Elephas maximus indicus: one gene and its partner. The protein of the gene in region 1 interacts with the protein of each later gene in a biochemical or structural test. Links are inferred from orthologs where the notes say so. Each region holds a gene or a part of one and is shown in the gene's direction. Other genes may lie near its edges.

What was found.
Region 2: the proteins of CHM (region 1) and RAB7A are reported together in a solved structure, tested with the Homo sapiens proteins (2 studies listed by BioGRID, with this or other methods). The link is inferred for Elephas maximus indicus from reciprocal best matches to the Homo sapiens genes CHM and RAB7A.

The regions. Positions count from the first base shown.
Region 1 is NC_064846.1:78,960,376-78,970,919, forward strand, and holds the start of CHM (rab proteins geranylgeranyltransferase component A 1), read left to right. Parts: upstream 1-6,038; 5' UTR 6,039-6,059; coding exon 6,060-6,108; intron 6,109-10,544. UniProt on the Homo sapiens protein: Substrate-binding subunit of the Rab geranylgeranyltransferase (GGTase) complex.
Region 2 is NC_064838.1:41,757,698-41,767,944, reverse strand, and holds the start of RAB7A (ras-related protein Rab-7a), read left to right. Parts: upstream 1-5,522; 5' UTR 5,523-5,715; intron 5,716-10,247.

The DNA.
Region 1 (10,544 bases):
TGGTACTTTTCAGGAGGCTGGAACTCCTATAAGTTATTCTTACTCCAAATTCTATCTTAAGGCCTATCTTGGTTATCTAGTGTTGCTGTAACAGAAATACCACAAATGGATGGCTTTAACAAAGAGAAATTTATTCTCTCACAGTCTAGGAGGTTAGAAATCTGAATTCAGGGTGCCAGCTCCAGGGGAAGGCCTTCTCTCTCTGTTGGCTCTGGGGGAAAGGTCCTTGTCATCTGTCTTCTCTCAGTCTAGAAGCTTCTCCGTGCAGGGACCTGTGGGACATGCTCTGCTCCTGGCACTACTTTCTTGGTGGTATGTGGTCCCCATGTCTCTCTGCTCGCTTCTTAAATATGTTCTGTGATTTAAAATTTATTATGAAATCCTCATAGCCTGAGAGATCAAAACACAACATAATCTTGTAGATTAAATAGTGCCTCATTGACATCATAGAGGTAGGATTTATGACACATAGGAAAATCACATCAGATTTCAAAATGGTGGACAATCACACAATACTGGGAATCAAGGCCTAGCCAAGTTGACACATATTTATGGGGGACACAATTCAATTCATAACAGGGCCTAATCATTGCTTCCACGTGTAGCAGGTGGAATACACCACTGTGAGCAGTTCTGCAGCATTCCACCGTAGTTGTTTCTGCTTCTTAGCTGTTAGTACTGCTTTTGTTATAATGAAGGATACATACCCGTTGCCATCGAGTCAATTCCAAGTCATAGTGACCCTATAGGACAAAGCAGAATCTCCCCATAGAGTTTCCAAGGAGCGCCTGGTGGATTCAAACTGGTGACATTTTGGTTAGCAGCCGTAGCACTACGCCACCAGGGTTTCTGAAGGATACATAGTAGTAGCAATTTTTCTGAGATTCAATTTCCTTTAGTTTTATTTATTTGGCTTGTCAGCAGTGCTTTTGCAGTAATGAAAAATGCATTGCAGTGGTAATTTTCCTGAGATAAAAAAATCTCTTGGCTTTATTTATTTGGGCTATAAGTATTGCTTTTGCAGTAAGGAAGAATGCATTGTATCATGTTTTGAAAAGGTTCATGAAAAATCATAAAAAGGATAAGAAGTAGGTAACTAGAATGAAATATATGTGCAGTCATTGCCAGGTGCCCTCATGTTTTACCTCCTGTTTTGCAAAATTTCAAGAAATAAAAAAAAAAAAAAGATTTTATCATTGACTCATCGGCAGGATTTACAATACTCAGGGTCCGCTGAGACATATGTTATCCCAGATAATGGGTATCAAAATCCATAAATCATAACAAAGGTCCGGAATTGATCCTTTATTCAGCATGTCTTCCATTAGTGAAAATATAGTATCAACAAGAAATTCAAAGGAGAAAATAACTGTGTCCTGATAATCAATGCAATGTTTCCATCCCCATAAACTGAAACTCAGTACTCTATAAGCATAACCCTCCCTATTCCACTCCCTTCTGCCCCTGGTAACCACTAATAAACTTTGGCCTCTATACATTTGCCTTTTCTTATCTTTTTGTGTAAGTAAGGTCATACAATATTTGTCCTTTTGTGATTGATTTATTTCACTCAGTTTAAAGTCTTCAAGCTTCATCAATATTGTAGCATATAGTATATTTTTTTGAGATAAATCTGGCAAGAATTGTTGATGAATTGGTTTAAGGGTGAAAGAGAGTGATGTATCAAGGATGACTGTTAGGCTTTTGACTTGAGTAACTGGGTAGAAGGTCATCCCATTTCTAAGATATGGAACATGGGCAAAGAGAAGGTTTGGAATGTTAAGGTTTGGAATGTTAAGGATTGGAATGTTAAGGATTGGAATGTTAAGGAGTTCAGTATTGGACGCGTTCAGCAGAGATGTTCAGTAAGGGCTTGGATATGTGTATCTGGAACTCAAAGGACAGGCCAGGCATAGAAAGAAAAAAAAAGGCCTACAGACCATTAAATTACTGGTTTTTAAAAAGATAATACGTCAGATCCTACAGTTCAGCAAACTTCTTGAATACAGTGTAGATGTTCCAGGAATCATGGCTTTTCAACTCAGGAAACAATTAAATACATAATTAGTGGCACAGTGATTTCACAGGATAGTCAATTATTAGGTAGCCATCATTTCATTGTACTGCAACTTATCCAAATAAAACATTTAAGCTCTCAAAAGATTTTCTTAGAATAATAGAATAGACAGCAATTCAGCTGCTTTGCTTTCTGCTCTTTTACTGACATTATCACCTCCTGTGTCTATCTATACTTCACATAATATCTACAACAACACATGCATTTGAAAGAAAAAGGTATTTTGAACATTTTCTCCATGCAGGGGCTTTAAATTTTTTTTAAGTGATGATCTTTTCAATGTCCAGGGAAGGTGTGAGTCATATAATAACTTTAGAAGGAAGGCTAAATAGAAGCTGGTAATTTTCTCTCTCTGAGGGACATACTGTTTATTCCCAGGGAAAAAAGGGGGGTTTCAAATTGGGGCTGGGTAGATTGGAAAATTAACACTAAAGTAATTATAGGTTTATTTTGTTTTACCTTACTAAATGTAAGCTTCATGAAGACGGGAGATTTTTGTTTGCTTTGTTCATTGCTATAACCCCAGCATCTAAAAGAGTGCCTTGCATGTAGTAGGTGCTCAATGAATAGTTGAGGAATAAATGAATTAATGAGTTATGTCTTCACAATGTAATTGTGTTTGTTAGAAAACTACTGACTTCCTAGAAAGTTAGAAATACATACACATATGTATACATGTATGCACTTATATCTCCAAAGTAAGACAGAAATATTTTTATTTATCATTATTACTATTTTTAACCATTCATGCTATGGATTCTCACTGTTAGAGAAGATTGCAGAAAGTTTCCTGTGTTTACTCTGGGAAATATATTAATTTCCATTTCCACTGTTGATAGTAAGAGTCTCAGAGATAAGATCTATTTCACTTCTGAGAATACTCAAAACTTTCTTTTCATACCAAGATGAATAGCAGAGTGATTTACTGAACAATATTTTACATTTCACTTCTCAGAGGAATCTCTTTTACATGATATATTCATCAGAGGACCATATCATAAAAGAATTGTTCGATACAACAAGATGAACAAGAAAATAAGTTAATGGAACATGTACTACATATTGCCAATGACCAGGGTAAAATGCAACATAAATACAGCCAAAAAATCAGCAAAATACATTTTTAAAGATTTTTCATGTTCTAGCAAGATTAACAAACATGTATTTAGGGTCTACGACATGCAGGACACACATGATAGTGATAGGCAGATACAAAAGTGAAGAAGGCTTAGTCCCTGTTCTCATAAGGCTTACCATCTATTAGGGGAGTCAGAACTAAGTTCAGTTCAGCAAATATTTATTGAATTCCTCCTATACACCAGGCTTAGGTTGGATGCAAGGGGTAACAAGATAAATAAGACACAGTCCCTGTCATACCGGAAAAACAAACAAACAAACAAAAAAAACCCAAAGCCATCGCCTTCAAGTTGATTCCGACTCATGGTGGCCCCGTGCGTTATAGAGTAGAACTGCTCCACAGGGTTTTCTTGGCTGTAATCTTTATGGAAAGGAGCCCTGGTGGTGCAGCAGTTAAAGCATTTGGTTGCCAACCCAAAGGTCGTTGGTTCAAACCCACTAGCTGCTCTACAGGAGAAAGATGTGGCAATCTGCTTCCGTAAAGATTACAGCCTTGGAAACACTATGGGGCAGTTCTACTCTATCCTATAGGGTCGCTGTGAGTCGAAATCGACTCGATGGCAATGGTGTTTTTTTTTTTTTAATAGTGTCTCCATAAGTTAGAATCGGCTGGATGGCATGGGTTTGGTTTTTAATCTTTATGGAAGCAGATTGCCAGGCCTTTCTTCCACAGTGCTGCTGGGTGGGTTCTAACTTCCATCCTTTAGCTTAGCAGCTGATAGCAAACTGCTTGAGCCACCCAGGAACCTCCCTGTCATACAGGAGCTTATAATTTAGCTTGCTGTATATCTGGGTGTGTATTTTGCGTGTGTGCATGGGGATATGTGTACTACGTAGGGACTGACATAAATGTAAATAATTTCAGTGAATATGGCAGGTTATGACACAGTGGTAGCACCATTGGAGAACCTTAGCTCAACATGGGTAGGGAATGAAAGGAAGAGGAAGTGGAAGCTGAGCTGATTCTTGAGGATAAGTATTAGCTAAAGAATGGGAAGATCATTCCATTTTGAAAGGACAGTGTGGGGTGGTTCAGGAAGATGGAAAAGATGACAGTGTGTCTGGCAAACTACAAGCAACTAAGAGGACAGGTGGTGTAAGAGAAGGACAGGTTCACCACTGCACCCTCTCTTTGAATTATTCAGTAAAATAGTTAAGTAATTTCTGGGGTCAAAAATATTCTCTCACTCCCCTGCACAAGCCTCACTTTTTTGCTTTGGTATCGTCAGACAGACAGCAAAGCATTTTAAAAAATGGGGTGGAGAGGGCTTGAAAATACTTATGAAAGCTATGTTAGCTGCTTGTCATAGACCACCTACAAAACAAAACAAAACAAAAAACCCCACTGCCATCGAGTTGAGTCCAACACATAGTGACCTTATAGGAAAAGAGTAGAACTGCTCCATAGGATTTTTTAATCTTTAGGGAAGCTGAATGCCACACCTTTCTTCTGCAGAGCGGCTGGTGGTAGCAGTCCAGTGCTTAACCACTGTACCACCAGTGCTCCTAGACCACTCATAAACAAACAAAAAACTCAAACCCATTGCCGTCGAGTCGATTCCAACTCATAACCCTAATCGAATACGATGACTTTAATGTAAAGGCCATTTCACCGTGACCATTTCTGTAGTAGCTTATTAGGAGAATCATATAAGGACTCATCTTACACATATAGAAACTCAGATTCGAATTCAACAAACGCTTATCAAACATCTACTATGCTTTCGTATAATTTTACCTTCATGTAAAGCTAGGCTAATTTTGCAAATATATATCGCCAGGGTGGCTGTTCGGCCTAACTAGAATAAATACCACGCGGTGAGGTTTTCATTCTGGTGAAACTAAACCAAAACCTTTTACCGTGGAGTGGATTTTGATTCACAGCGACCCTACAGGACAGAGTGGAACTGCCCAATAGAGTTTCCAAGGCTGCAGTCTTTGTGGAAACAGACTGCCACATCTTTCTCCTGCAGAGCAGCTAGCGGATGGAACCTCAGACTTTCCGGTTTGCAGCTAAGTCCTTTAACCACTGTGCCACCAGGGCTCCTGGTGAAACTAAGGCGAAGGGTTTATGGGGGGGGGTGTGGTGGGGAGGCTTATTGGGGAACGAGCCCTTGGTGCTGCAGTGGTTAAGCGCTTCGCTGGGCTGCTAACGGAAAGATTAGCAGCTGTCGGACACACTAGCTGGGCGCGGGAGAAAGATATGGCAATGTGCTTCGGTAAAGACTGCAGCCTTGGAAACACTATGGGACAGTTCTACTCTGTCCTATAGTGTCACAATGCGTGGCAATAGACTTCACAACGATTTTTTTTTAAATAGGTTTCAATGGGGAGACATAAGAGACCAAAAAGATTGGCAGTAGGAGACTCAGCCCAGCTAACAACATCGGTGTGAAAAATTATGCCACGAGGGCCAAAACGAAAGCACAGACACACTGGGGAAACGGTTTTCCAGGCTGGAATGATAACCTCTCTTGTTCACAGAACAATTCCCTCGCAACTTCATTCTGCCTTTTGGGTCTCCGAACACTTCTTTCTTTATCTTAGTTAAGGAGTACCCAGGTCTTCTCACATTCATCCTAGCCATCGGAATACAAATCTGCATCTCTTTCCTACCCCAAGCCTCCAGCCTAAATGCACTGCTTCATAAAGCCTGGAAAGTAAATCGAGCTTGCAACATTTGCGTAAAAATCGCAAATATAACGCTGCAGCCGTCTACCTGGGCCTTCACTCAAGAACTACAATACCCAGAATGCAGAGTTTTCCCTTCCGCCTTCCACCGTGGGAACGCTTAACTTGATTTCATTTCCACAAGCAGTAGTCACATGACACGTTTCCTGTAAAGATGGCGAATAATCTCCCTTCGGAATTTGATGTGATCGTAATAGGGACGGGTATGTGTGGCCCTAGTACTCCACGGACTAAATGTGGGATGCCTGTCTCATTCCTGCCTTCTTTGTCAGTGACGAGAGTTAGCGAGAAACGCCGGGGGTCGAGTTTGGGAGGGCGGACGGGAAGGAAGTGAGGTATTCTGGAGTCAGCGCGGGACTTGGCAAGCTCCAGGGAGGGGCTTGGACCCGCGGTGCTTAGCGACATCTGAGTAGGGGTATATCTGGTCGATGCCGATTGTTGAGGTTGGTTGCTGCGGCTGATTCCTGTAATTTCCTTAAAGGGAGGTGGGTTTGCAGTGTCATGAGGACGGAGGGTCGGGATTTTATCCATGCATACGCCTTTGACATGACATTACGATTCACTCCTTGTTGAGTTCAACGTGATATTCCTCATTCCTTTTGTTTCGTCGTTTCATAGGACTTTTTTCGTATCTTTATATGATTATAGGGTGTCGTGCAGTTAAAAATTGCTCGGTTACAGCTTAATCCTCAGTTTTGCAAGAAAGATGCTCAGTTGTTGCCCATGTACGTATTAATTTATTAGGGCAGGGAAACGGATTTTTTTTTCTCTATTGTGTTGAGCAGCCTAGGAAATTGTATTTTGTTGAGGCAGCCATTATTCCTGCTTTACGGTACTGAAAAAAACCATTCTGCTTTCTATCATCCACCTATCCACGCACAACCAGATATGCTGAGAACAAGCTTTTGTGAGTTCCAGTTCAGGTCTGTGACCTTATTGTCCCCTTGCTAATCATTCATTTGTTCTCCATGTTTTGGGTGGAGCCAGAAACCCCCCTGCAATTTCTAGTTGGCAAATTCAACATACAACGTGTGGCAGCGGACGTGTGGAATCAATTGACATTTTGTTTTTCTTAACTGGTTAGAGGGTGGGTTTTAGATGGGGTGAAAGAGGTTGTTGGGTGGGGTTTACTCCCGTCTGCGGAATGTAGTAGGCTCTGGGGTATTGGGCCCATTGTGTTGATGAATTCCGTTCGTTGTCTTTTCAAACTGTAGGAGCAGCCATGTTTTTAGGGTGGGAGTAAAAATTATAGCTACTTTTTTTTGTGTGAATGATTATTATTTGCTAGTCGATGTGCCAGCTAAGCACTTGACAAACCTTATGTAATTCTGACAGCAACCCTGTTAGAGTAGGTATTATTCTCTACATTTTACAGAAGAGGAAAAGGAGGATTAGAAAGGCTATAATTTGCTCATGATCACGCAGCTGGTAAATTTCCAAAGGCCCATGTCATAGCAGAAGGAGAATCAGTGGTTCTGATCCTCAGAGTTAACCCAGATTAGTAGAGGTCATTGGAAAAACTTGGTTCTAGAATTTGCTTGGCTTTTACCTTGCTGTGTGACTTTGAGGGAGGTTCAAGCACTTTAATCTCTCTGAGCCTGATTTTTCATATTTGTGAGTGTAGGGAGGGTAAACTAGTAGCTTTTAATGTGTTGTCTAACCAGAAAGCCTTTTATACTCGTTGTACCTAGGTAATTGTTCTCAGAACAACAGGGACATGTTATTCCCAACTTGAAAACAACTGCAGGTGCAGATAACCCAGCTGTGAGCAGACGTTGGATGAAAGCTGGAAGGAGCCAATTGAATATTCATTTATTCCCTCCATTCTCTTCTAAAACTGAGAAAAAAAATCCGTTTTAGAATAGCTGTTATTACCACACTTGCCTTTCTTTTTGGTTGTCTAGGAATCCATCCATTTTGGTCTTTTCTTTCTTTCCTGTCTTTTTAGTGACCTTTTGCTTTCTTCATGTATAATGTCCTCCCACAAGTAGTCTGGTCTTCGGCCATTAGCATCCAATGTATCAAATCTAATCTTGAGATGATCTCTAAATTCAGGTGGGATATACTCAAGGTTGTATTTTGGCTCTCATAGACTTGCTCTAATTTTCTTCAGCTTCAACTTGAACTCGCATATGAGCAGTTGATGGCCTGTTCTGCAGTCCACCCCTGGCCTTGTTCTGACTGATGATATTGAGCTTCTCCATAGTCTCTTTCCACAGATGTAGTTGATTTGATTCCTGTGTATTCCATCTGGCAAGGTCCGTGTGTATAGCTGGCCTTTCTGTTGCTGAAAAATGTATTTTCAATGAAGAAGTCATTCATCTTGCAAAATTCACTACACTAAATAATCCCAGGCTGTTATGGATTGAATTGTCCCCCCCACCCCCCCAAAAATATGTGTTGTACATCATAACCTCTATGCCTGCGGTTAGTCTGGTTAGAATTTTGCAAGACTAACCATAGGCATAGAGGTAATGATGCACAACATATATTTTTTGGGGACACTATTCAATCCATAACAGCCTGGGATTATTTAGGCTAGTGACAACCACTCATTTCTCAGGATATTCAAACCATGTTTATTGAGAACCTAGTCCCTGCCCTTGTGAAGGTTACTGTATTGTCAATACTCAGGAATTGTTTGGACTTCTGACAGTCACACCCCCAAAGCTGTTCTTAAGCCTATGTGAGCTTTTCATCACGTCCTTCTTGCTTTCTGCAGGCCATTTAGAGATCTAGTCTGCATCGTTTTCCTTTTTAAAACACATCAGTCACTTTATCTTCTGGAGTTCTTCCCCTAAAATGGGCTGTGGAGTAAGCTAGCTTAATTTTTTTCTTGCAGAGGGTGAACACATAGATCCTAGTTGATTTAAGAGTTTTACTACTAAGGATTATAAGGTTGCTATGAGCTAGAATCGACTCAATGGCATACAGCAACAACAACAATACTAAAGATATGGGTAAAGAGATGGGATAAAAAATAACAAACATGGGGAAGCTTACAAGGGTTACGGCCCTAAATCTTGACTGCCTTGCTAGATGGTGCTCAGTATAGTATAATAATAGATGTGGCAACATGGTTTAATGGTAATTGCTTGACCTTCCCCCTGTGTAACCTTGGGAAAATTGCATAACCTCTTGGGATTTCAGCTCATACATAAAGTGGGAGATTTGAATTAGGGGATTTCTAAGGTAGGGTTCTACCAGCTCGAAAATTTACCATTGTGTGTGCATAATTATGACCCTGTGTCATCAAGAAAAGGCTGATTTTATTAAAATTGTGCTTCAGATGAAAGTTTTCAGAGTAAATTAATTTCTCATTAAACAATTAATACTCATTGTTTTGTGACATTGATTGCCAACCACACGACATGTCAGCACTCTCCCTTCTGGACCTTGGGTTCCCCTTTACCAGCTTTCCTGTCCCCTCCTGTCTTCTAGTCCTTTGCCCTAGGTTGGTGTGCCCATTTAGTCTCATTTTGTTTTATGGGCCTGTCTAATCTTTGACTGAAGCGTGAACCTCAGGAGTAACTTTAGTACTGAGTTATAAGGGGGTCTGGGGGCCATACTCTCGGGGTTTCTCCTCTCAGTCAGACCAGTAAGTCTGGTCTTTTTTGTGTGAGTTAGAATTTCATTCTACATTTATCTCTTGCCCTGTCCAGGACCCTCTGTTGTGATCACTGTCAGGGCAGTTGGTGGTGGTAGCCAGGCACCATCTAGTTGTGGAAAAGGCTGGATTCTGTTCTGTATAGTCTTTTTAAGAAGTCAGTGTTGAATATATTTGAAAAAATTTCTATCAAAATGGATGCTTAAAAAAACTTTTTTTTTTTTTTTGAAAATGATAAGCTTCATTTATCAGGAAGGGTCACATAGGTCATATAGCTCCATTCCTTGATGTTGGTGGAGAATTGAAACATTAAGGTAGTTAACCTTGGCCAGCAGCTCATTGACTATAGTGTTTATTGTGATGGTGGTGGAGTAACCTCACTTCTATAAACCTTGGTAGATATAAATGCTGTAGGAGGGATCATGGAAACTGATATTTACTAAATACTCATTTGTGTCAGACCCTATGCCAAGTGATTTCTCCTGTATTCATCTTATTTAATCCCCTTTCAGGATGCTTGTATGTGGTTCAGACAAGATGTATTTCCTCTGCCTGTATTTCCAAATATCCATGCCCCTACGGTCTAGAAGGAGCCCTGGTGGTGCAGTGGTTAAGAGCTCAGCTGCTAACCAAAAGTTCGGCAGTTCAAATCTACCAGCCGCCTACTTGGAAACCCTATGAGGCAGCTCTGCTCTCCTGTAGGGTCGCTGAGTCAGAATCATCTCGACAGCAATGGGTTTGTTTGTTTGTTTTTGGTTATTGCCTGATTTACTTCCCAGAGAAGGCTCATGATTTCCATGAAAGGGGTGTCAATTTTATCTTCTTCCTCTTCTCATTGGCTACTTGATAGGAAAGACGTTTGTGTGTCTATTACCAGTAATCCTATCAGGTTTCTCATCTGGTGGTTTATAGGTTTTCTTCTTTATCTTTTTTACTCCCGAGCTTGCATTATTGATCATTTGTTTTGCCTGCAGGTTTTGAACAGATTTACTGTTTGTCTTATTTGGGGGCATAGTTGAAATTCTTCCTTGT
Region 2 (10,247 bases), on another chromosome or scaffold:
GCAGTGGAATTGCTAGGTAATACGATAGTTCTATTTTTAGTTTTTTGAGGAACTGCCACACAGTTTTCCACAATGGCTGTACCATTTTGGATTCCCACCAGCAATGGACAAGAATTTCAATTTCCCCATATTCTTGCCGACATTTGTTATTTTCTGTTTTTTTTAATTTTAGCCATCTTAATGAGAATGAAATGGTATCTCATTGTGGTTTGATTTTGATGTTGAGCATCTTTTCATGTGCTTGGTGGCTGTTATGGATTACGTTGTATCCCCCCAAAATGTGATGTAAATGACCTATGGTATAATCCCATTTGGAATTTTTTTTGTTATGTTAATGAGACAGTGTAGTGTGTTTCTTAAGTCAATCTCTTTTGAGATATAAAAGTGATTAAACAAGCAAGGGAGGGGGTAGGAATAAGGGAATATAGATGCCACACCACAGGATCGCCAAGGAACCAAGAAATAGAAGCTGAAAGGACAAAGACATTTCCCCAGAATCAACAGAGAGAGAAAGCCTTCCCCTAGAGGCGGCACTCTAAATTTGAACTTCTAGTCTCCTAAACTGCTAGAAGATAAATTTCTGTTCGTTAAAGCCACCCACTTGTGGTATTTCTGTTATAGCAGCACTAGATAACTAAGACAGTGGCCATTTCAATGTCCTTTGGTAAAATGTCTATTCAATTCCTTTGCCTATTTTTTTATTGGGTTATTTTTCTTTTTGTTGTTCAGTTGTCCAGGCTTTTAAAATTACTATAGTATACGGTAAAACCTGTGAAAGCCAGAACCAATGTAAGGTGGAAACCTGTCACAGAAGGAAAACTCGAATATTTTCCATTAAAATGAGGGACAGGATAGTGGCAAGACCGCACTCTGTTAAGGGTGGAAAACTTGCACGACCAGGAAAAGGAAGGCGGTCCCACTGAGTTCTGGCTCTCACAGGCTTTCCTGTACTATTGTAAAGATGGCATGGCGACGGTGTTTGACCTCCTCTAACTTCACAAGTCAGGAAAGGTATGCTTCAGGGCTGTATCCATTCACCATACCTATTCAATCTGTATGCTGAGCAAATAACTCGAGAAGCTGGACTGTATGAAGAATGGGGCATCAGGATTGGAGGAAGACTCATTAACAAAATGCAGATGACACAACCTTGCTTGCTGAAAGCAAAGAGGACTTGAAGCACTTACTAATGAAGATCAAAGACCACAGCCTTCAGTATGGATTGCACCTCAACATGAAGAAAACAAAAATCCTCACAACTGGACAAATGAGCAACATCATGATAAACGGAGAAAAGATTGAAGTTGTCAAGGATTTCATTTTACTTGGATCCACAATCAACACCCATGGTAGCTGTAGTCAAGAAACCAAACGATGCATTGCATTGGGTAAATCTGCTGCAAAGGACCTCTTCACAGTGTTGAAAAGCAAAGATGTCACCTTGAAGACTAAGGTACGCCTGACCCAAGCCATAGTATTTTCAATCACATCATGTGTATGTGAAAGCTGGATAATGAATAAGGAAGACCGAAGAACTGACACCTTTGAATTGTGGTGTCGGCGAAGAATACTGAATATACCATGGACTGCCAACGAACAAATCTGTTTTGGAAGAAGTACAACCAGAATGCTACTTAGAAGCAAGGATGGTAAGACTGCGCCTTACAGACTTTGGACATATTGTCAGGAAGGATCAGTCCCTGGAGAAGGACATCATGCTTTGCAAAATACAGGGTCAGCAGAGAAGAGGAAGACCCTCAACTAGGTGGATTGACACAGCGGCTGCAACAATGAGCTCAAGCATAACAACGATTCTAAGGATGGCGCAGGACCGGGCAGTATCTCGTTCTGTCGTGCACAGGGTCGCTATGAGTCAGAATCGACTCGACAGCACCTAATAACAACTTCACTAGAGGGAAGGAGGATCAAGATCAACAGCCCGAGGCTAATTCCTTTGAGGGAGAGGTCAGACATGCCTCCTCTCTCTGCCATCTTTACCAATTCCGACACCAACTGCCCCTCCCATGGCATTCTCCACTTCTCTGCTGAGTTCAATAATTTATTGCAACAGCCACACAGAACACACAGACCATACTCACAGTTATGGGGCTTATAGGGAAGTAACAGGTTACAACTCAGGTTCAGGAATGCTCAGAATGCAGTTCTCCCATCAGGACAGCCTCTTCTCAGCCATGCCCGCAGGCACGCTTCTTTCTCTCTGGCCCCTCAGCCTCTGCTAAGGCAAGTGCTAAACAAAACTCTTTTAGCTCTGTTGATAAGTGCTCCAAGGCACCCCACTCCGCCAGTAAGCCTCAGCCTGAAGGTGCGCAGCTTTTTTGCTCCATGGGCCAGGAGGCCCACTGTGCCATCTCCTGCTGCTCTTTCCTGCTGCCGTTCCTCTGACACCGCTTCTCACCATCGTCCGTGTTATAGCCGTGTCTTTCTCAGTCTCCTGGTTTCAGGAGCTTCTCAGTGTAGGGATACTGGGTCCAAAGGATGCTCACCACTCCTGGCTCTTCTTTCCTGTTGGTGGTTAGATCCTCTCCTCCCACCTCTGGGATGGCTTGTTTTTAGCCTAGCAGGATGGCAAAACTGACCAGTCCTCTATGGTGGGCCACAATGTCCTTATTTGCATAACTTACCAAGTAAATTATCAGACGATAGTGAAAAACCAAAAACCCACTGCGGTCGAGTCAATTCTGACTCATAGCGACCCTATAGGACAGAGTAGAACTGCCTGATAGAGTTTCCAAGGAGTGCCTGGAGGATTCAAACTGCCAACCTCTTGGTTAGCAGCTGTGGCACTTAACCACTACACTACCAGGGTTTCCTGAGACCATAATGAGACAGGCCATATAAAATGATCCATCCCACTGCAAGTATGTTTTGAAATCAGAAAGTGTAAGTCCTCATATTTTATTCTTCTTCAAGGTTGCTTTAGCTGTTTGAGATCCTCTGCCCTTCCATATAAATTTGAGAACTGGCTTTCCATTTCTGCAAAGAAGGCTGTTGGAATTTTGATGAGGATTGCATTGAATTTATAGATTGCTTTGGGTAATACTGACGTCTTAACTATATTAAACCTTCTGGTGGTGCAGTGGTCAGGAGCTTTGGCTGATAACCGAAAAGGTTGGTAGTTTGAATTCACCAGCCACTTCTTGGAAATCTTATGGGGAAGGTCTACTCTGTCTTATAGGGTTACTATGAGTTAGAATCAACTCGTGGTGATGGGTTTGTTTTTTTGTTTTGTTTTAATCCATGAACATGGAATGTCTTTTTATTTATTTAGGTCTTCTTTAATTTATTTTAGCAATGTTTTATAATTTTTTGCATAGAAGTCTTTCACCTTTCAGGTTAAGTTTATTCCTAGGTACTTATTCTTATTGTAAATGGTAATGTTTCCTTAATTTCCTTTTCAGCTTGCTCATTGTTGCTGTATAGAAACCTCACTGATTTTTGTGTTTTGACTCTGTGTCTCTCATAAGGACACTTGTAATTGGATTTAGGACCTACTTGGATAACTCAGGGTAATCTCATTTTGAGATCCTTAATTACATCTACAAAGTCTCTTTATCCAAATAAAGTCACATTCACAGGTTACAGGATGTGAACATATCTTTTTGGGGCTCGCCCAGGGAGAAATCTCTAAATAGTTAGAGACGAGACCATTCAACTCACAACAGGAGTCAAGAATGATTCCAAGGTTTTCAGACTGAGTAACAGGAAAGAATGGCATTTGCATGAGCCGAGATAGTAAAGACTATGACAAGAGTATGTTGTTGAAGATAAAGTTCTAAGTGGCTCTTAATTGTGTTTGTATGAGGTTGGGGCTTGGAAGGGTGGGGTGCATTCTAAGAGTTCTGCAGGGTCCATCTTTGCCTCGCTTTTAACACTAAATTCAGAGAAACTTGAGTTCTTTTTCAATTTTCTTGGGCTATCTCCTCTGTGTTTTGGAAATGTCTAACTCATCTTCATGTTTCTATCATCCAGCTACATAATGGGTGCAGTTATTTGCAGTCCATTAGGAAGATCACACACATTGTCATGAGACCGTGGCTCACAATCCTGGCTGTGCCACTTGCTGTGTGGGCTAGGTAAAGTGACTTTCTAAGTTCTTCAGTTCTTCTCAGTTCTCTATTTGCAAAATGGTGGTAATAACAGCCTTCCTGTAAGATTAAAATAATGACTCTTGGAGTCTACCCAACAGTCTAGTACGGTGCACAGTAAATACAGACCTTCTCCACTCCTCTATTAGTTTATAAAATAACCCCTGCAAGAGCTTGGTTGCTAACCAAAAGGTCGCAGTTTGAATCCACCAGCTGCTCCTTGGAAGCCCTATGGGCCAGTCCTACTCTATCCTATAGGGTCGCTATGAGTTGGAATCGACTGGACAGCAACGGGTTTTGCCTTGTCTCTCACAAAAAGGTGCCCTGGTGGCACAGCGGTTAAAGCATTCAACTGCTAACCAATAGGTTGGTGGTTCGAAACCACCAGCAACTCTGTGGGAGAAAGATGTGGCTGCCTGCTTACGCAGTGATTTAGTCTTGGAAGCCCTATGGGGTCACTATGAGTTGGAATCTACTCCACGGCAGTGGGTGGGTGTTTCTCACTAAGGAGCCCTGGGTGGCACAGTGGTTAAGCACTGGGCTGCTAACTCAAAGATCTGCTAACTGAAAAGTTGGCGATTTGAACCAGGGATTCGAACTGGTTTGTTCTGGTTCAAACCCCTGTTGAGAATTGGAATTTGTAACACGTTCCTAGGCCATCCTAATGATGCTGTTTAGGGACCAATGCTGAGAACCACCAGTAGTGCAGGTTCTCGAATTTTATTATACATAAAAATCACCTGGAGATTGTGTTAGACAGTAGATTCTGATTCTAGATATCTGGGGTGGACCTGCAAATTCTCAGCAGGGGTCTGAACCAGAAGGAACCAGTTGGAAGACCTGGTTTGAACCTACCAGCTGCTCCTTGGGAGAAAAATGTGGCAATCAGGTTCCATAAAGATTACTGCCTTGGAAACCCTATAGGGCAGTCCTGCTGTGTCCTTTAGGGCCGCGATAAGTCCGAATAGACTCCACCACAATGGGATTTAGTTGTGTCTCACGACAGAGATTTCTCCCTGGGCAAATCCATTCTTAGGACAAGCTCTGTAGATCCTGAATTGCTTAGCGTACATGGTAGGACTACTTGGTTGCCTGATCAGTCCTCTTGGAGACAGACACTATGGCAGAGGCAAGCTTACCTCATCCTCTCTCTCCCGGTATTCGTTATTCAGGGAAGACAGGAGGCGGCTGAGGAATCGATTTGTGGGTCCAACATGGCGCCGTCCTGGTCCCTGACCGAGTCTCAAAGATGGCGACGTCCTATGGGGGCAGACATGTTCGGACTACAAGATCCAGGCCCAGGCCAGAGGCGGCCGGAACCTGACGCAAGGTTGAGGCGGCGTCCCACCTCCGCACTCCTCGGCGTCGATTGTCTTGTGACAGGTACTTCCGCTCGGGGCGGCGGCGGTGGCGGAAGTGGGAGCGGGGCCGAAGTCTTGGCCATAAAGCCCGAGGCGGCGGCAGCGGTGGTGTTGGAGGCTTGAAAAGGGCGGAGGGGTCCGCTGGAACCGGCATTTGGACTTCTTCTCTGCCCCCGTACATTTTCGCCTCTCCTCGGCAAGAGCTCTCTCAACGCGCCCGGCCCGGAGCCTCCAGCGGAGCGGCCGCGGTAAGCAGCCGGCCCTGCCTGGCCGGTGGCCTTGTCCCATCCCCCTCCTCAGCCCCTCGGTACCCAGGGCCTCGCATCGATCCCGTCTCGGGGAAGGCTCCGCGCTCAGCCCGATCCTCGCGGGGAAGCCGCGCGTTGTTCAGCCCCAGGAGCAGGCCCGGACCGCGCCCGGTCGGGAAGAGGTCAGAGGTTGCCGGGTGTGACCTCTGGCCAGGTTGCCGGCGCTGAGACTGCCGTCACGGACGCCTTGTTTACTAGTGGTGTCAAGACCGGAGACCCACTGGGCACGGGGCCTGTGCGCCCGCGGCGGGATGCTCTAGCCGCTTGAGTTCCTTGCAGCGGCGAGCGGAAGGGTGTCGGAGCCGGCCCTCCAGCAGCCGTGTGGAGGGGACGGTGGTCCAGGCGCCCCCCAGCCGATCGCGCCTAGTGCTCAGCTACTTTGGCATCTGTGTCTTCGGTTGAACAGCCTGATTCGGCCTTGGGGGAGGGTCCCCGATGGCAGCTGAGTTAAGGCAGTGAGTCAGGTCACGTGCGCGGGGCTCACCTCGGAGGCTTGTGTACATGTGAGACGCTTCTGGCGCTGGGAGATTTTTGTCGTAAGCATGTTATGGTAAATCTTGAACGAAGTTTTCAGACTTATTGGGGGAAAGATGATGAATGGCTGTAAAGCTATGTGTGTTTAGTTCAGACTTGATACATACCGGTTGCCATCGACTCGATTCCGACTCATAGCGACCCTATCGGACAGAGTAGAACTGCCCCGTACGGTTTCCAAGAAGCGCCTGGTGGAATCGAACTGCCGACCTCTTGGTTAGCAGCTGTAGCGCTTAACCACTACACCGCCAGGGTTTCCACTTGATACATAATGGTTCTTAAAATGGGAATATAGAGAACAATAATAGGAAACATTTGAGCGCTTACTGTATGCTTGCTGGGCACCGTGCCAAGACCTTTTACACAGGTTGTTTAATTTTCAGAACAGCCTTTTGAAGTACGATTATCGTGCCCACTTGTGGATAGGGAAATCGAGGAACACAGAAGTTAAGTCACTTGTCCAAGATCACATAGCTAATAAGTTATGGAGCTGAGATTCAAACCCAAGGATTCAGACTCTGGAGTACTGCACTAGATGTCTAGGTTGCACTGCTTTCAGGTGCTCCTGAAGCTTGTGATTTCTCTTGTGCTACCTGGTATCTTCCTCTCTCTCCTTTTCTTTCTAATAATGTCATTTTAAAGCCTCCTGAAGTGGCATTTGTTCTATTTAAAGCCAAAAGTCATTCCATTTGTAGTTGTGACCTTTAATGGATATTATTGTAGTGTAGTGTCAGTATATTAGGAGCTCTTGAATTCTGACAAAGTGCTTAATCGGGGTTTGAAAAATTTTGTTACCTGAATTTTTTGTCAATTGATTAGGCTTGGCAAGCCTGCCATGTGAACCTTTCTTACCACCTTTAGCAGAGATGCGGGTGTACAGCCAGCTGGTTCTTCCCTGTTGAAAATACTCTTTGGATTCTGAAAGAACAGGCTCTTGTCTCTTCCTTGTGACTTAAGCAGCTGATTAGCCACATGACTTCTCATCCATGGATTAATAAAGTCTCCTGTTAGTCTGTTTCCCTCTTCAAACTTTGGAAGGTTTATTTAGGTTTGAGTGAGTTGTGAATATTTCTAATACCTCCTGAGAATATTACCCAAGCTAAAGCTTGGAACTCACAACCCCGTCGTGTTCCAGTTTATCTCGTTTTACCTTGCTACTCAGCCTGATATATTTGAGTAATAAGTACTGTGCCCTTAAATAGCGTTTGGGCACTTTTTCATTCATTCATTGAATGTTTTGAGTATCTGTCATGATTCTGATCCTTAAGGAATTTTCAGATGGTGAGTGATCATTGCTAGGAATTCGGTTGTGGACAAGTTGTCCATAGAACTTGAGGCTTTTGGAAAGAAGAGTTATTTCTCATCTCGGCAGGTGAATTTGTAGTAATCCAAACAGTCTAGTGTTTTGGCTAAATTGAATTTTGTTAATTTTAACAACAGCATTCATATGGCTTGCTCTTTAAGAGAATGTAGAAGACAGTATTACAGTTTCTAATTGATCACGTCTTTTGTAACCTTCAGCACTCTAAATTTGTTTCTCCTTTTGCTCTAGTGGCGTTTTTTGTTCACTTGAGGGAATCCGTGTCACTGCCACCCCATTGCACTGCAAGTGAGAGTTGTTGCAGTGTTCATTGAGCAGAGGTGCATTTGGCATGCTAGATTTTTTTCTTCAGCTGACAGAGAAAGTTGAATGTGGTTCCTGCCCATCACAGTACCAGTAACATCCTAGATAAAACACAGTGCCATGCTACCTCCAATAACTGTTTTGTCTCTCCATCTATAAGAGGAGATTTGGGTTTTGCGCATGTAGAACTGCAGTGTAGGAGAAACCAAACCAAAAACCAAACCCAGTGCCGTCGAGTCGATCCCGAGTCATAGAGACCTTATAGGACAGAGTAGAACTGCCCTGTAGAGTTTCCAAGGGGTGCCTGGCGGATTTGAACTGCTGACCCTTGGGTTAGCAGCTGTAGCACTTAACCACTACGCCACCAGGGTTTCCAGTGTAGGAGAAGACACTCTAAAAATGGTATTATTATTCTGTCCAAGTAATCGTGATATTATTATTCTGACAAAGTAATGGTGAGCAACAGCTTGGAGATAGTTCTCCTCCCCCCCACCTGTGGCTAAGCCTCCAAACCCCATAATCAGAGAGCATTGCATTGTACCAAAGTGTGGCTTTGAATCACTTTTCTGACCCCACCCTCAAGTGAAGAAAAAAAAAAAAGTTTTGATTATTTGATTAACTTTTAATAAGTCTTCAAAGAGATCTGCACTAATAACATTTTTGCACTTATATCTGGCATTGGCCTTTCCACACAGAGGTGTATCAAACCCAGACTACGTGGGCGTGGCAGTAGTCTTATGCGCTTTCCCTCTCTGGGATTTGGCATAAATATTTTGCCATTATTTCTAAGACAAATTGTCCAGCTCTCCATCCATGTACTTCAGCAGATTTGACTGAGATAGATTTGGCTAGATGTTGGACTGTAGGCTGTGGGCAAGGTTCTTCAGAGAAGTTAAGGAAGTGCCTTCCTGAATAAGGCTAAACAGTGGTTCCCCTTGGCACTGATGTCGTTCTCTGAAGGGGACTGGCACTCGAGAAATGAAGTACCGCTCCTCTTGCCCCCCAATTATGCAGTTACTGACTTTCTGCAGACTTTTATCCCCCATATAAGGTTGCCATTGTATTCTCAGGGACTGATTCTTACGTGTTATCAAACACTTATCCATTAATGCCATCTAATAGATCTCTATGCTTATCTGTCTGCAGTTTGCTGCAGAAACATTTTGGAATGTGTTGATCTCTTCAGTTATTTGCTCTCACATCTTCTGTCTGTGCTCCGCTTTTCCTTCTCACATATAGCGTTAAAGACAGAAAAATAGCTTGCATTTATGTTTTAAAACTTCCTAATGGTGGTTGGGGTCAGTGTGATTGGTGAATCAAAAGTGATGTGTGGGTGAAATTAGAACAGGTGTTGTAGCCGTGTCTCTGACTAGTTTCAATTTTAGTACTGGAGCCTGTGATTTCAAAAATGAATTTAAGAATAGCTACTTGCAAAATGTCTCTGTGGGGTAGGGAGAAAGCTTGGGAGTTAGTTCCAGTGATGACATACAGTGTTGGCCTTGTTCGTTTGCCTGGAGATGCAGTACTTAATGCAGGGGGCCCGCGAGCCTCTCCTGGAGCTCTCTGTTCTGGTGAGGTCATCACTGCTCTGGAGATCAGCCTGCCTGATTCTGTTGTCCATTTATTTATGCAGTGGGACTGAGCAAGTCTGAAGAAGTATTTTAGGGCAGTGTTGGAAATTCTACAACCTTGCCTGGTTCTCAGATGGCCTTACCTGTGTGACTGCTGCCAAATATCATGAGGGAAGTTCTCTTCTGCCCCCTGCCCTTTCAAGTAACGATGGCTAGCTTGCTTCTTACTATTGACTTTCCTGGAGTTATCCAGCTCAGTTCAGGAGTCCTTGTGTGTAAGTGCAAAAAAAAAAAAAAATGACCCCCATTTTTTATTTTAGTTTGAGCTATTCAAGAGTACCTGACAAAAAAACAAAAACAAAACAAAAAAAACCCAGTGCCATCGAATTGATTCCGACTCATAGCGACCCTATAGGGCAGAGTAGAACTGCCCCATAGAGTTTCCAAGGAGCACCTGGTGGATTTGTACATGACAAAGCTACTGTAAATTAACCTTTTAAAAGGCTTAATCTTAACATAGACTTAAAAAAAAAAGTGCTTCTTTCATACAATATTTAGTCAGTCTACCAACAATTCTCGGTGCACTTACAGATCTTAGGATACCTTGAAATTACTCTGGGTCGTTTGGGCAGCCCACAGGCTGAGAGCCACTCTGAAATCCTCTGACTTGTACCATTTCGGTTGATGGTTATTCAAGAGATTAATGTTTTCTAGAAACCTTCCTGCATAGCATTTTCTTTTAA